3 linked regions of the Neurospora crassa OR74A genome follow. The protein of the gene in region 3 interacts with the protein of the main gene of each other region in a biochemical or structural test. Links are inferred from orthologs where the notes say so. Each region holds a gene or a part of one and is shown on either strand. Other genes may lie near its edges.

Region 1 (4,402 bases), on a different chromosome or scaffold from region 3:
CCCTTTCCCACATCGTTCCTCCCCTCAACGAAAAAATTTGAGGTGCACTTTTAATTTTACTAATGTGTTGCCTCCACGGTTGATACGGAGGCACTGCAATTGCCGAAACAATGCCAAACACCAATCGACACCAACTAACCACCTCCATCAGTATCCATCCCTTCCCCCCTTTTCTCTCAAGTGGGTTCCGATCACTAATCATCACCGCCGTGTAGAGGAGGGAAGAGGAGTCAGTTAAAGTTCTGACGGCCACAGCAGCGGCGTCTAAAACAAGTTATAAGTACCAGCCCGGCTACCTACCTCTAGGTAAGGTACCTACTCACCTCTGACAGCCGATTTGATGCAAGTAGGAGGCGTTCGGGGAGTCGATTCAAATCCTCCGTCCTCCCTCCCTCGCCCCGATCTAGACTCAACGGCAGCAAGGGCGCGCCTACCTATCTACCTACATACACCCATCACCACGCACCCACCCTGAGTACCTCTGTGTAGATATGGAAGTAAGTCCGGGGCGAAGGATCGCAACCGCGCGGCGGGGTTTGGGAATCCTTCGGAAGTCTACCTACTTGGAATTGGGAACTTTGCTGCTGCTCCAAACCGGCGGTTAAGTAGTAATGAGCAGACAAGCGCCGCCGCCGCGATTTGATGAGCCCCGTTTTTCTTCCATCGTGACAGTCGCTGCTCGTATTCACTCATGCGCCAACAACCGCCGGTGGTGGCATACGAGAGTCGGGGTATCAAAGTCACCACCCAAAGTGGAATATGTACCTGGCAGTCAGTTGACGTTCCATGAAGAGTGGTGGGTGACTCCCGAGTCGATGTGGGAACTTTGAGCTCTTGGATTCCAACAACTACCTACGGGACAGCCACATAAAGGTTATGCTGAGATACTGCATGTGTGACTGAGAGATATGAAAGTGTTGAGGATCGCCGTGGTACTCCACGGACGGTATTGAAGTGAGAGGTGGAATTAATCTATTTGCTCCCGATCGTTGATTTCAAGCGTCTGAGATGATGAGGTTTCTCCCTTCTTGCAGCTTGTTTTGGCGCTTTCGTTTTCCCGCTACTTTGAAGGACCTGTCTTTCCATCGGTCGTTTTTTTAATCTTCCTTTTGAATAAGACCCATGGACTGATAGATAATCGGCAAGATGGCGATCCTTCGTACTGAGCGCGGAAGTACCAACACTGATAGTTATCGTATAATCCGAATCCGAGGAAATTCCAAGTCCGCCGATTGCTGTAGACTTGAAGCATTGCAATCACTAAGAGAAGACGGACTACCTCTATCAGCGCGGCCTGTGCACCAGTTTTTGAGCATGGAAGCGAGTGTGCGCAAAGGAAATATGAATATAGAGGCTGCTGAGGAAGTGGAAGTGACGATGAAGTTGTGGTGTTCCAGTCGTTTTTGAATGTGAAGGCCACAGTGCAATTGAACTATGAGAAAGACTGTGCGTGTGGGGGGTCCACACTCACTGCAGTCAATCCGGCATCAGCGGGCCGGCAACAAGCGTGCCGGACCGGCAGCAGCTCACCGTAAAAGTATCACCGTACCTGACCTTGTGCCAGATCCGGATTCCCAGAAACAGCACATCATTGATCCATCAAATCCACCGAGATCCTGTCCTGAAGCTGATCGCCACAGGCCACCGCCAGGCAACCTTGGCACGTGCTTTCTCGACTTCACAAATCTATACAACAACAAGCGCAATACAAACAGCCATAATAATAGAGATACGCGGTCTAGGGGAAGACCTGAGGCTGCATACTTGAGACAAGGGAGGAGGCCCCTTTGAATACCGAAGAACAGACGAACGACTGCCCCCGCCAAGACCCAAGATAGAAGCTCCAGCGTGCAGACACATGCCAAAAGTTGACCTCGATTTCACGACTTCTCGCTTCTCACCAAACCAAACATCGAAATAGAACATCAAACGACCATATTAAGCATCAGCCCTGTCGCACTTCTCCATCCGGACACCCGCGTCGATTAGATATTCTGCGACATAGTAAAACCAGCAAGAACATTCATCAACGTTGCTGCTGCCCGCGCAGCCATTCGTAATTCCTTCCCTTTGTCCGTGTATCCAAGGCCGTGATACTACACGCCCACCATGGAGTTCAACATCGAGTAAGAGCCAAATCCGAGATGACGCGTTCGCGTTCTTGGTCTGTAAAAAACCAGATAACTAACTTGCCGGCAAACAACAGCGATCTCCCAGTTCTGTTTCCTTACCCAAGGATATATCCAGGTATGTGAGCTCATCCACATTGGTACACCATCACAAGTGCTGACAGACCGACTACACAGAACAATATGCGTACATGGTGGACTTGAAAAGTGAGCATTCAACAAATAGCTCACACTCATCACACGTCCACTGACCACCACCACTCCCCACAGAAACCCTCGATGCAGGCGGGAACTGTGTCCTGGAAATGCCTTCGGGCACCGGCAAGACCGTCACCCTTTTGTCACTCATCGTCGCCTACCAGCAATACTACCCAGAGCACCGGAAGCTGATCTACTGCTCGCGAACAATGTCCGAAATCGAAAAGGCCCTCGTTGAGCTGAGAGCACTCATGAAGTTCCGAGCCGAGCGGCTGGGGCACGAAGAAGAGTTTCGCGGTCTCGGTCTGACAAGTCGAAAGAACCTGTGTCTGCATCCCTCGGTCAAGCGGGAGAAGAGCGGTGCCATTGTCGACGCGAGGTGTCGCAGCTTGACGGCCGGCTTCGTCAAGGAGAAGAGGGAAAAGGGGGAGAATGTGGAGACGTGCGTCTACCACGACAATCTCGACCTTCTAGAACCGCATAACTTGATCCCTAACGGAATTTGGACACTGGATGGCCTGATGAGGTATGGCGAGGAAAAGAAACAGTGTCCTTATTTCACTGCCAGGAGGATGGTAGGTCTCTTCTCAACACCCCAGGATGCGGATGTAATAGCTCGAGATGCCATACATACTAACAGCTCATATGTAGATGCAACACTGCAACGTCATCATCTACTCCTATCACTACCTCCTAGACCCCAAGATCGCCGAGCGCGTGTCCAAGGATCTATCCAAGGACTGCATCGTCGTCTTTGACGAGGCTCACAACATCGACAACGTCTGCATCGAGTCTCTAAGTACCGACATCACCCAGGACTCACTGATGAGGGCAACCAGGGGTGCTCAGAACTTGGAGGCCAAAATCAGCGAGATGAAGGACTCTGATCAAGAGAAACTTCAGTCCGAGTACGAAAAGCTAGTCGAAGGACTCAAGGGTCTAGATGAAGGGCGACAGGAGGATGCTTTTATGGCTAACCCAACACTACCCGACGATCTGCTCAAGGAGGCTGTCCCCGGCAATATCAGGCGAGCCGAGCACTTCGTTGCCTTCCTCCGGAGATTCATCGAATACCTCAAGACCCGCATGAAGGTCCGCCAGGTCATCTCCGAAACACCACCATCCTTCCTCGCCCACCTGAAAGAATACACCTTCATCGAGAAGAAACCGCTCCGGTTCTGCGCCGAGCGTCTAACCTCGCTAGTACGGACCCTCGAGCTCACCAACATTGAAGACTACCGGCCACTCCAAGAAGTAGCCACCTTTGCAACCCTCGTCGCCACCTACGAAAAGGGCTTCCTACTGATCCTCGAGCCCTACGAATCCGACACGGCCAAGACCCCGAACCCAGTCCTGCACTTCACCTGCCTCGACGCCGCCATCGCCATCAAGCCCGTCTTCGACCGATTCAGCTCCGTCATCATCACCTCCGGTACCATTTCCCCCCTTGAAATGTACCCCAAAATGCTCAACTTCGAAACCGTCGTGCAGGAATCCTACGCCATGACCCTCGCCCGCCGCTCTTTCCTCCCCATGATCGTCACCCGCGGCTCCGACCAGGCCTCCATCTCCACCTCCTTCCAAGTCCGCAACGAGCCCAGCGTCGTGCGCAACTACGGCAATCTCCTGACCGAGTTCGCCCGCATCACGCCCGACGGCATGGTCGTCTTCTTTCCCTCGTACTTGTACATGGAATCCATCATCTCCATGTGGCAAGGCATGGGCATCCTCGACGAAGTGTGGAAGCACAAACTCATTCTGGTCGAAACCCCAGACGCGCAAGAAACCTCGCTAGCGCTCGAGACGTACCGCACCGCCTGTTGCAACGGCCGCGGCGCCATCTTGCTCTGCGTCGCGCGCGGTAAAGTGTCCGAAGGCATCGACTTTGACCACCAGTACGGCCGCACCGTGCTCTGTATTGGCGTGCCCTTCCAGTACACCGAGTCGCGCATCCTCAAGGCCCGCTTGGAGTTCCTGCGCGAAACGTACCGCATCCGCGAAAACGACTTTCTCTCTTTCGACGCCATGCGCCACGCCGCGCAGTGTCTGGGGCGCGTCTTGCGCGGAAAAGACGA
Region 2 (4,241 bases), on a different chromosome or scaffold from region 3:
CTTGTTTGTGGTTTCGATATGGCTTCAAACCGAGAAGTAGAGCATGAAAGTAGCTTTGGCATAGTTATGCAAATCATGTGATGATTTTGACACGTGCTTACATAGTACTTTGTCATTCTGAAATCAGCTATGTGAAATTGTAGGTAATGAGCGAATTCACGGTGGTGTATTAGCTTCGAATGAAAACGAGGGGTTGAAACATTTTGTTGACCTGTTCATAAATCGCCAGTCATGATCGCCCAACAAGTTCCTTTCGCATTCTGCTCTTCACTCGTTTTTCACCACGCACTCCTACCTACTTGCATATAATTTGTCCGATTTGTTCAAGGGCAGGATTTTTCCTTTATCGGAACATCACCGGAACCGTGTAGACATATGAAGATTAGCTATTTTAGTACGCTACTTGATGATGCTGGTATGGTCTCAAAATCTCACATTGCCGTATCACTCCACATCTATGATTCGTTGCGTGCCCGTCCTCTCTTTCCCCTCGTCACAAGGGACTCTACCGATACGCAAAGAGTCTTCTTGATCATTCTTCCATAACCATATCCGTCTCCCATCTCCTTCACAGATGCGCCACACCCAACGAATCGTCTTCTTGAATTCATAGGACCATTTCACATCTGTTGGATCCCGTCATTTCTTTAGCCCTTTCGCTAGTATCCCTTTGCACTGCCTTGTTGGTAAAGAGCATGAAGAAGCCATGACCCCGTCGTCTCTAGTTATTCGGCTGGTGTCCCTTACAGCTTTGGTTTTGGGAGTTCCACTTTGGACTTTCTTCTTAGCCAAGTCGTCTGGGTATATTTTGATCGTGATGCCGTGTATATTTTCGTGTTCTTTGCAGCGCCAACCCCTCCATGTAACAGATATGTTCGCCATACCCTTAAAACTGCTCTGTTTCGGGTCATCGTATCGTTTTCGTTCACGATACCATACTATCGATGCTCTTAACCAGAGTGGCCGGTTCGGTTCCGCCCGAAGAATCTGAAACGTTCAAGCGGAGCGGCTAATTGTTGTCCTCCATCTGCCGCCATTTGTAGCATGCTCCTCACTCTAGGAATCCATCACCATGGGTGTAGGGCCACCGTCTGGTACTGCTACTGCCGTATCCTTCTCCACATCCCTCGTATCGCTCTGACACCCAGGACAATTATGAATAGTCTCGTGGGCAAAGACATCACAGTCTATGCAAAAATGATTTCCGCATACCTGGCAAGCATACCGCCCGCTTTCGCTGACACCCTTGAGTTCCGGTTTTGGATTTTTCTGCTCGCCGTCCTGTTGTTTCCCGCTACCTTTAGCTCCGGCTCTCCCTCCTAACACAGCTGGCGCTGCCGCCACTGAATCCCTTGGCCTAGCAGGAAAGGGTGTCAGGCACGAGTAGCACGCCGTCGACTTATACGCCTGAGACCACGGAACCTCCACAAACACCTTGAGCGGGAACAGATGATGGTACGACCTCGCCAAGTGCGTGCTCTGGATGAGCGTCAGCTTGCAGATCGGACAGTCGATCGGCAGCCGGCACACTTTGATTCCGCAGCGCGGACAGGTGTACCCCTCGCGCGTGGGCTTCGCGTGGCAGGCGCAGAAGCTGACATGGTCTTTCGGAGCAAGCGTGCGGCTGGGAAAGCCCATCATGAGCAGGCTGGCGGTGTTTTGCTCGGGCGTGCGGGTGACGGGCGGAGTGGTGGCGGCGAAGAAGAGCTCCTTGAGGTGCACCTCGTCTACGGCGACGCTGTAGTTGCCGTCGTGGTTGTTCGTCCGCTTGCAAAGCTCGCTGCAGATGGCGACTTGGCCGGCGAGGCCAACGACCGAGACGCGGATGCGGTCGGCTACGAGGTCGTTGATGGTGTCGTGTATGTCGCCCGGATCGATTGAGACGAGGGCACCGTAGATTATCAGTATTTCGCGCGTGGCATGTGACGGCGTTTGACTGTACAAAAACATGAAGCGGTTAGCGAATGACCTCTGTCACGGAGGGGGTGGGCCGTAGCGCTGACTATAGAGCACCTCGGCACATTTGAAGTGCATTCTGTAAACTCGGATTTCCTTGGGGGTCTTGTTGCTCGCTCCATTGCATCAACTTTTCGATGTGCTCGGCCGGATTCCCGCTCAGGTCGCTTATTCGCACAGCAATTCCATCGCGCATTCCCACGATGCCTAGCTGACTGATGGGATTCTGCTCGAAATACTCGCGTACGAAGCCAATGGCGTTATTTAGGACGACTCGGTAACGGTTTGGTAGCAGATCTTTGTCGGCCATGGCGAAACTCATGTCGAGCACAAGCATCAGATGGCGGATAATTCCACGCTGAAGAGGTGTCGTGTCGCGCAGAAGGCGACGCCGCTTCTCGGCCTCCCGAATCTCTGCGATGGAGAGGCCGCTGTCCGCTGTTTCCAAGACGGTATCCCAGGAGCGCTTAACATCTTCCCATGACGCCTTGGTTTGCTTGCTGCGCCCGTCCGCTGTCCTCTTTCCATGCCTCTTGAGCTCATCGTCGGAGGCGTACTCGCCGTCCGAGTCAGCCATGTTTGCGTATGTTTGTCGGGATAGTTTGACGGATAGTAGCTGGCGCTCTTAGTGGGAGAAGCTCGAGGGTCACTTCGAAACGAGTGGAAGGTTCAGAAGTTCGATAATCAGGGCCTTTAGTCGTGTTCGTGTAGACAACTCCCTGGTAGGTGTTGATCGGGAGGCCGGGTACTGGTTGTCGCGCTGAAAAAGTGCCGGAGAGAAATAAGAAAGAATGGAGAAAAGGGGATACGCGACGACGTTGAATGCACAAGCTGAACAAAGGTTCGTGGTGTGTGGTGGAAGCCGGAAATGTTTACTGGACTGCAAGGCTGTTCCCCAAATGCGCGAACTCGTGTATGTAGGCAGCCTCGCAGGAAGAGTGGGGCCTGTGAAATCGAATCAGATCGGTGCTGGGTACCGACATCTCGTTTGTGTAACTACGGGCCTCGAAATTCGACAGCGAAATCTGGTTCCACCACAACTTCAAAGCGAAGGTCAACTCTGATTTGAAGCTTGGTTACGAGTCACGACATTCAAAGGACGTGCATATGTGTCAAGTATATACTACATGATGTGCCCGCTACCCAGAAGGGCCACTGGATTGTCTTGAGGCGATGTAGGGCTATGCCTTCGGGGGCCTGCGACTTTCACATGCTTGTGCCCGGGGTTCACCAGACTGTTGAAGTAATCAAGAACCTCAAAGAGTATGTAGGCATACAAGGCTCAAATAAATCATGGATCGGTCGTCGTCGGTACTGCGGGGGTGCGTGATACTTGTGCGGTCAAATCGCTTGGCAAAATGGGAATCCCACGTGGAAAACGGCCAGCCAGGGAGTCCAACTGTCCGTTCCGGTCCGGATTCCGGGCACGGGCTCTCCCGAATTCTAGAGTCCAGACGACGGAATGGGGTCCACGGCTTTGATGTGTCCATATATCCGTTTCGGTATCGTGGTCCAATGAATCTGCAAGGTCACCAGCGAGACAGACACCGTATGGCGTGAGTCGCATGTTTCGTGATGTGGTGAAACAGGTAAACACCGACCCTTACCTTGAGCGAAACAACTGTCACAGTGCAGTGCACAACTAGCAATACTTACTGGAGATGGGGGAGAGAAGATCGAAGCTAATTACTGCATCGAGTTATGTACATATACTCGATGAAGGAATGCAGTAAGATGCGACCTTAAAGCGGACCGCGTACTTGGCGTGATGTGCCCGACAGAAGCTTCGTAGCGAGGTATTGTAGGATCGTGAAATGCGATGAAAGGTTGCGCCGTGGAGTAGCCTCGCCGTTAGTAGTAAGGCACATGTAGATGTGCCGGCCCCGTGCCGGCCCGTTCCAGCTCTGCGGTTGATCGTGGCTCGCCTGCGACCTACGCGCTGACAGGTGGCCAATAAGAAACGCCAACTGGATTGACGTTACGTCACGGCACCTTCGGCCGAGGTTTCCAAAGATCCCCGCTCACTGGTCAACGGCCAAGACTGACCTGTGCCGCCTCTGACGTAATACCTCAGCCGCTTGTATGGGCGCAATTGATTAACCAACTCGCGATCAGTCGTACGCGGTCGAAATTTTCACACAAAAAGGGCCAGATTGTTCATGGTCCTCCTCGGTCGCTGCGCCCAAGGAATGGTTTATTCGCCTCCAGGTTCTGTATGGGAAAGGGGCAGTATCGTGTACGCCATTTGGCCCCAAACGATGGACAAACCTGTACCTGGAGCTTTG
Region 3 (3,437 bases):
TGGTATAGGCGGCGTTGGAAAGTTGCAAGGGTTGTGATTTGTAGATATGTGGGCAAGTAGGTTGGTTACCTTGATGACGGGCTCTTGACCCTTAATACCAGCCGTAAGAGACTGCTTCTTTATCTCAACCACCATATCTTTGCCCTTTAGGTTACCAGGGACGAGGATGGTGATGTCGACGTCGCCAATCGTCTGAGTCCACTTGTAGGGGAGAGCCTCCTGCTCGGCTTGTTCCTTGGCGCGGGCAGCGGCCTCCTCGGCGGGGGTGAGCTCTGTTACGTCTGACATTGTTTGGTCAGTTGACTAGTGGGACCTGTTGATGGCGGATGGACTTTCTGGTCTTGGGAGCAAGAGGAGTTGAGCTCTAAAACGCACCTTTGTCAGCCATGTTGAAGGTGGTATTGTTGAATTCGGTGTAGATATTGGGCAACGACGGCAGCTTGGTGCAGTGGTGCAGTGGTGCAATGTGCGGTAATGTAAGTAGAAGACGATGGAACGCGCCTGAACGCGATGACCGAATTTCTGGAGGGGCAGGTAACCCGCATGGAACGGCTGCGGCCGCCCAATCCCAATCCTAGGAGCTGCCCGCGAGCGGCTGCTGTCACTGCCCTGGTAGCCCCTGCTCACCCCACGCTTGCCCGCGTCCAGTCCCCTGAGACAGAGCTGCCAGATGAGCGCGGCAGAGTGCCGTGCTGTGAATGATCTGGGAAGCCCCACCCTGCACCGCCAGGGTAGCGTCCATTGGAGCGCTGGCGCGGTTGGGGGCCAAGTGGAAACAAGGATTATTCAGCCCAAGCATAATAACTCTTATCAGTCCCTCTTTCACCACATCGTCAATCTCACTCGGGTTTCACCCAGACTTCCACTTGGTTGATTTTCATCACCTTCCCTATCCACCGTTGATACATGACTGCGTGACCCGGAATTTCTGCCTAGCCGAGCTGGCATTTTAGAACAACATTTCATCACCTAACAAGACGAGTACAAGTCCTCGTCGCCAAATCACGATCACCAAACAGATATAAAAGAAGATTTGGGCCGCGATCGCCACTCACTCACCGACACATCAAGAGACGTCCCGAGTTCTCAGATACGGACTACTGTCCCTTCGAAGGGAAACGCCCACTCCTCGCTATAATTCAGCATACATTTCTCTTGGCCATCATTTAACCTTTGGAAATCCCACTTCAGCACATCGATCCCCGTCTCCTCGAAGCGAAATTATCAAAACAACCCCCCCCCCCCCCCCCCCCCCCCCAAAAAAAAAAGAAACCACCCACCATGGCGCGCCCTCTCGACCCCCTCGGCTTCGAAGACGAAATGTGCCCCGTCTGCAAATCGCGCAAGTACCTCAACCCCGACATCGTCTTCGTCTTCAACCCCGAATGCTACCACTCCATGTGTCTCAACTGTGCCAACCGACTCTTCAACGACGGACCCAATCAATGTCCGCACGCCGGCTGCAACAAAACGCTCCGTCGCAAGGGCTTCCGCTCGGCTTTTTTCGGCGACTTGGCCGTCGAGCGCGAGGTCGACATCCGCCGTCGCGTGGCGGCGGTGTTCAACCAAGTCGAGGACGACTTTGAGACGCTCCAGGATTATAATAATTACTTGCAGATGGTGGAAGATTTGACGTTTGAACTTGTCAATGGGACGGATGAGAGGAGACGGCAGGCGGAGGCGCAATTGCAGGCATGGGAGGCGGAGCATAGGGCGGATATTGAACGGAATAAGAAGGCGGGGAGGGAGGCGGATGAGATTTCAAGAGTGAGGCTGGCAGCCGAAAGGGATGCTGTCAGGCAGAGGAGGATTGAGGCTATCAAGGAGGCGGAGGCGGAGAAAAGAGAGAGGGTGAGGAGTCGCGAAATGGAGCTGGATAACCTGGCCAAGGGAACCACTGCTATGACAGCGGAGCCGGCGACGAAGGTACAGCTAAAGAGGCGTGGGCAGGTGAATCGGGTTGCTGAAACAGCTTCCAACCCTGCCATCGCAACAACGGGAATGGGCACGGGCGCGTCGGAGGTTGAGCGTTTGTCCATCCGCGGCTTGAAGGAGAAGCCGAAGGCGCCGGCGCCACAGGGCCCGTACGACCCCTTTGGAGGCATGGACTTCGCGCCTAGTCGGTACAAGCTACATGGAGGCTTGAGTCACCCGCTTATGGAGAAGTACCGGTTGGACAGACAGCACGTTGCTGGTGGGTACAGCTTTGACGACTTTGCGGCGCGCGCCTTGTATGAAGCGTTTGCTGGGTTGGGTGTGTTTGTTGAGGATGAGAAGGAGGTCGGCAGTGGTATTGGGCTGTCACAAGAGACGAGCATGGCGGCGGGGATCGCCGCTGTGGTTGACGCGGATAAGATGGATTTGGACTGAGAGTGGTTCTGGACCGGTATGCCCCGGCCTTTTGGTTGGCGGTAATGGTGTTTTTGTTGCATAGCGACGGCGTTCACTCAGCGATTGAATATTTTTCTTTTTCCTCTCCGACGGATCTGGATTTAGGAACACACATGAGGCGGGACCAGCATCATATAGATCAACTTCAGACTCGGTGGTTTTAGAGGGCGCAAATATTCGGGTCTGCTGTGGATTTCTGGGTTCGAAATTCATTATGCGAATGGTCGCAGTCCAGCAGCCACATAAGACAGAACTTGGCGAACTGCAGTACATTCACTACTCTTTGCCACCCATCAAGCCATCTGTCTACTTGTAAGGAGTATCAAGGTCACTGAAGACCACGTTTTGTGTGAGGGATTGGGACGACGATGATGATGGAGAAAAGAAGAAGAAAAAGAAATTCAGACTAATAAGAGTGCGTCGATTGATCACAAAAATGCCCAAAAAAATATATAGATTAAGATTTACCAAACAAAAAGAGCCTCCAGGCTTCCCTACTGCAAAAATGTGTATGCCTCCCTTGCTGGCCATTCCTGGAGAGAGTGTTGGCAGCCAATCCTGAAAGTTTTGATGGTATGACCATTTATCATACCATACCTCTTTCACTCCTTTATCTCGAGATGCCCGGACCCCATTCCACCGTTTTTATGTAGCGTTCCATTCCAACTATTCTTCCCCCCTCCCCCTTGCGCTGCGCTGCTAAGCCTTGTATCTGGCCCTGCTCGTTAAGAAGCACTCGACGGCGGAAAAAAAAGCCTGATCTCTTCACAGTCAATCCTTGACTGCCTTATTGCCACCCATTTCGAAGGTACGAGCATCAAACCGCCCTGCTTACCCGAACATTGGCTGTCCTTTCGGTAGACTAAGGAGGGGCACCGTCAGAAGACTCGCGGCAACAATACCGAAAGATCAGGATTGCCGAATCGAATAACGAAGGCGGGTGAGAAAAAAGAGCTGAGCTCAAAAAATACAAAATAAAAGAAAATAAAACAAAAAGCAAAAGGAACGCCGCGCTAGATGCGTGACTTGCCGGTTCGTGTCATCCC

Evidence for each region.
Region 1: the proteins of NCU02587 (region 3) and NCU01625 are reported together in a solved structure, tested with the Saccharomyces cerevisiae proteins (2 studies listed by BioGRID, with this or other methods). The link is inferred for Neurospora crassa OR74A from reciprocal best matches to the Saccharomyces cerevisiae genes TFB3 and RAD3.
Region 2: the proteins of NCU02587 (region 3) and NCU01831 are reported together in a solved structure, tested with the Saccharomyces cerevisiae proteins (2 studies listed by BioGRID, with this or other methods). The link is inferred for Neurospora crassa OR74A from reciprocal best matches to the Saccharomyces cerevisiae genes TFB3 and SSL1.

What each region holds. Positions count from the first base shown.
Region 1 is NC_026502.1:2,932,015-2,936,416, forward strand, and holds the start of NCU01625 (DNA repair helicase RAD3), read left to right. Parts: upstream 1-1,589; 5' UTR 1,590-2,109; coding exon 2,110-2,126; intron 2,127-2,206; coding exon 2,207-2,247; intron 2,248-2,306; coding exon 2,307-2,336; intron 2,337-2,399; coding exon 2,400-2,902; intron 2,903-2,978; coding exon 2,979-4,402. UniProt on the Saccharomyces cerevisiae protein: ATP-dependent 5'-3' DNA helicase.
Region 2 is NC_026502.1:2,258,498-2,262,738, reverse strand, and holds NCU01831 (RNA polymerase TFIIH complex subunit Ssl1), read right to left. Parts: upstream 2,844-4,241; 5' UTR 2,534-2,843; coding exon 2,004-2,533; intron 1,937-2,003; coding exon 1,057-1,936; 3' UTR 356-1,056; downstream 1-355. UniProt on the Saccharomyces cerevisiae protein: Component of the general transcription and DNA repair factor IIH (TFIIH) core complex, which is involved in general and transcription-coupled nucleotide excision repair (NER) of damaged DNA and, when complexed to TFIIK, in RNA transcription by RNA polymerase II.
Region 3 is NC_026501.1:2,825,149-2,828,585, reverse strand, and holds NCU02587 (RNA polymerase II transcription factor B subunit 3), read left to right. Parts: upstream 1-1,281; coding exon 1,282-2,370; 3' UTR 2,371-2,892; downstream 2,893-3,437. Other genes in the region: NCU02588 (nuclear movement protein nudC, variant 1), read right to left, coding at 70-281, 376-388. UniProt on the Saccharomyces cerevisiae protein: Acts as a component of the general transcription and DNA repair factor IIH (TFIIH or factor B), which is essential for both basal and activated transcription, and is involved in nucleotide excision repair (NER) of damaged DNA.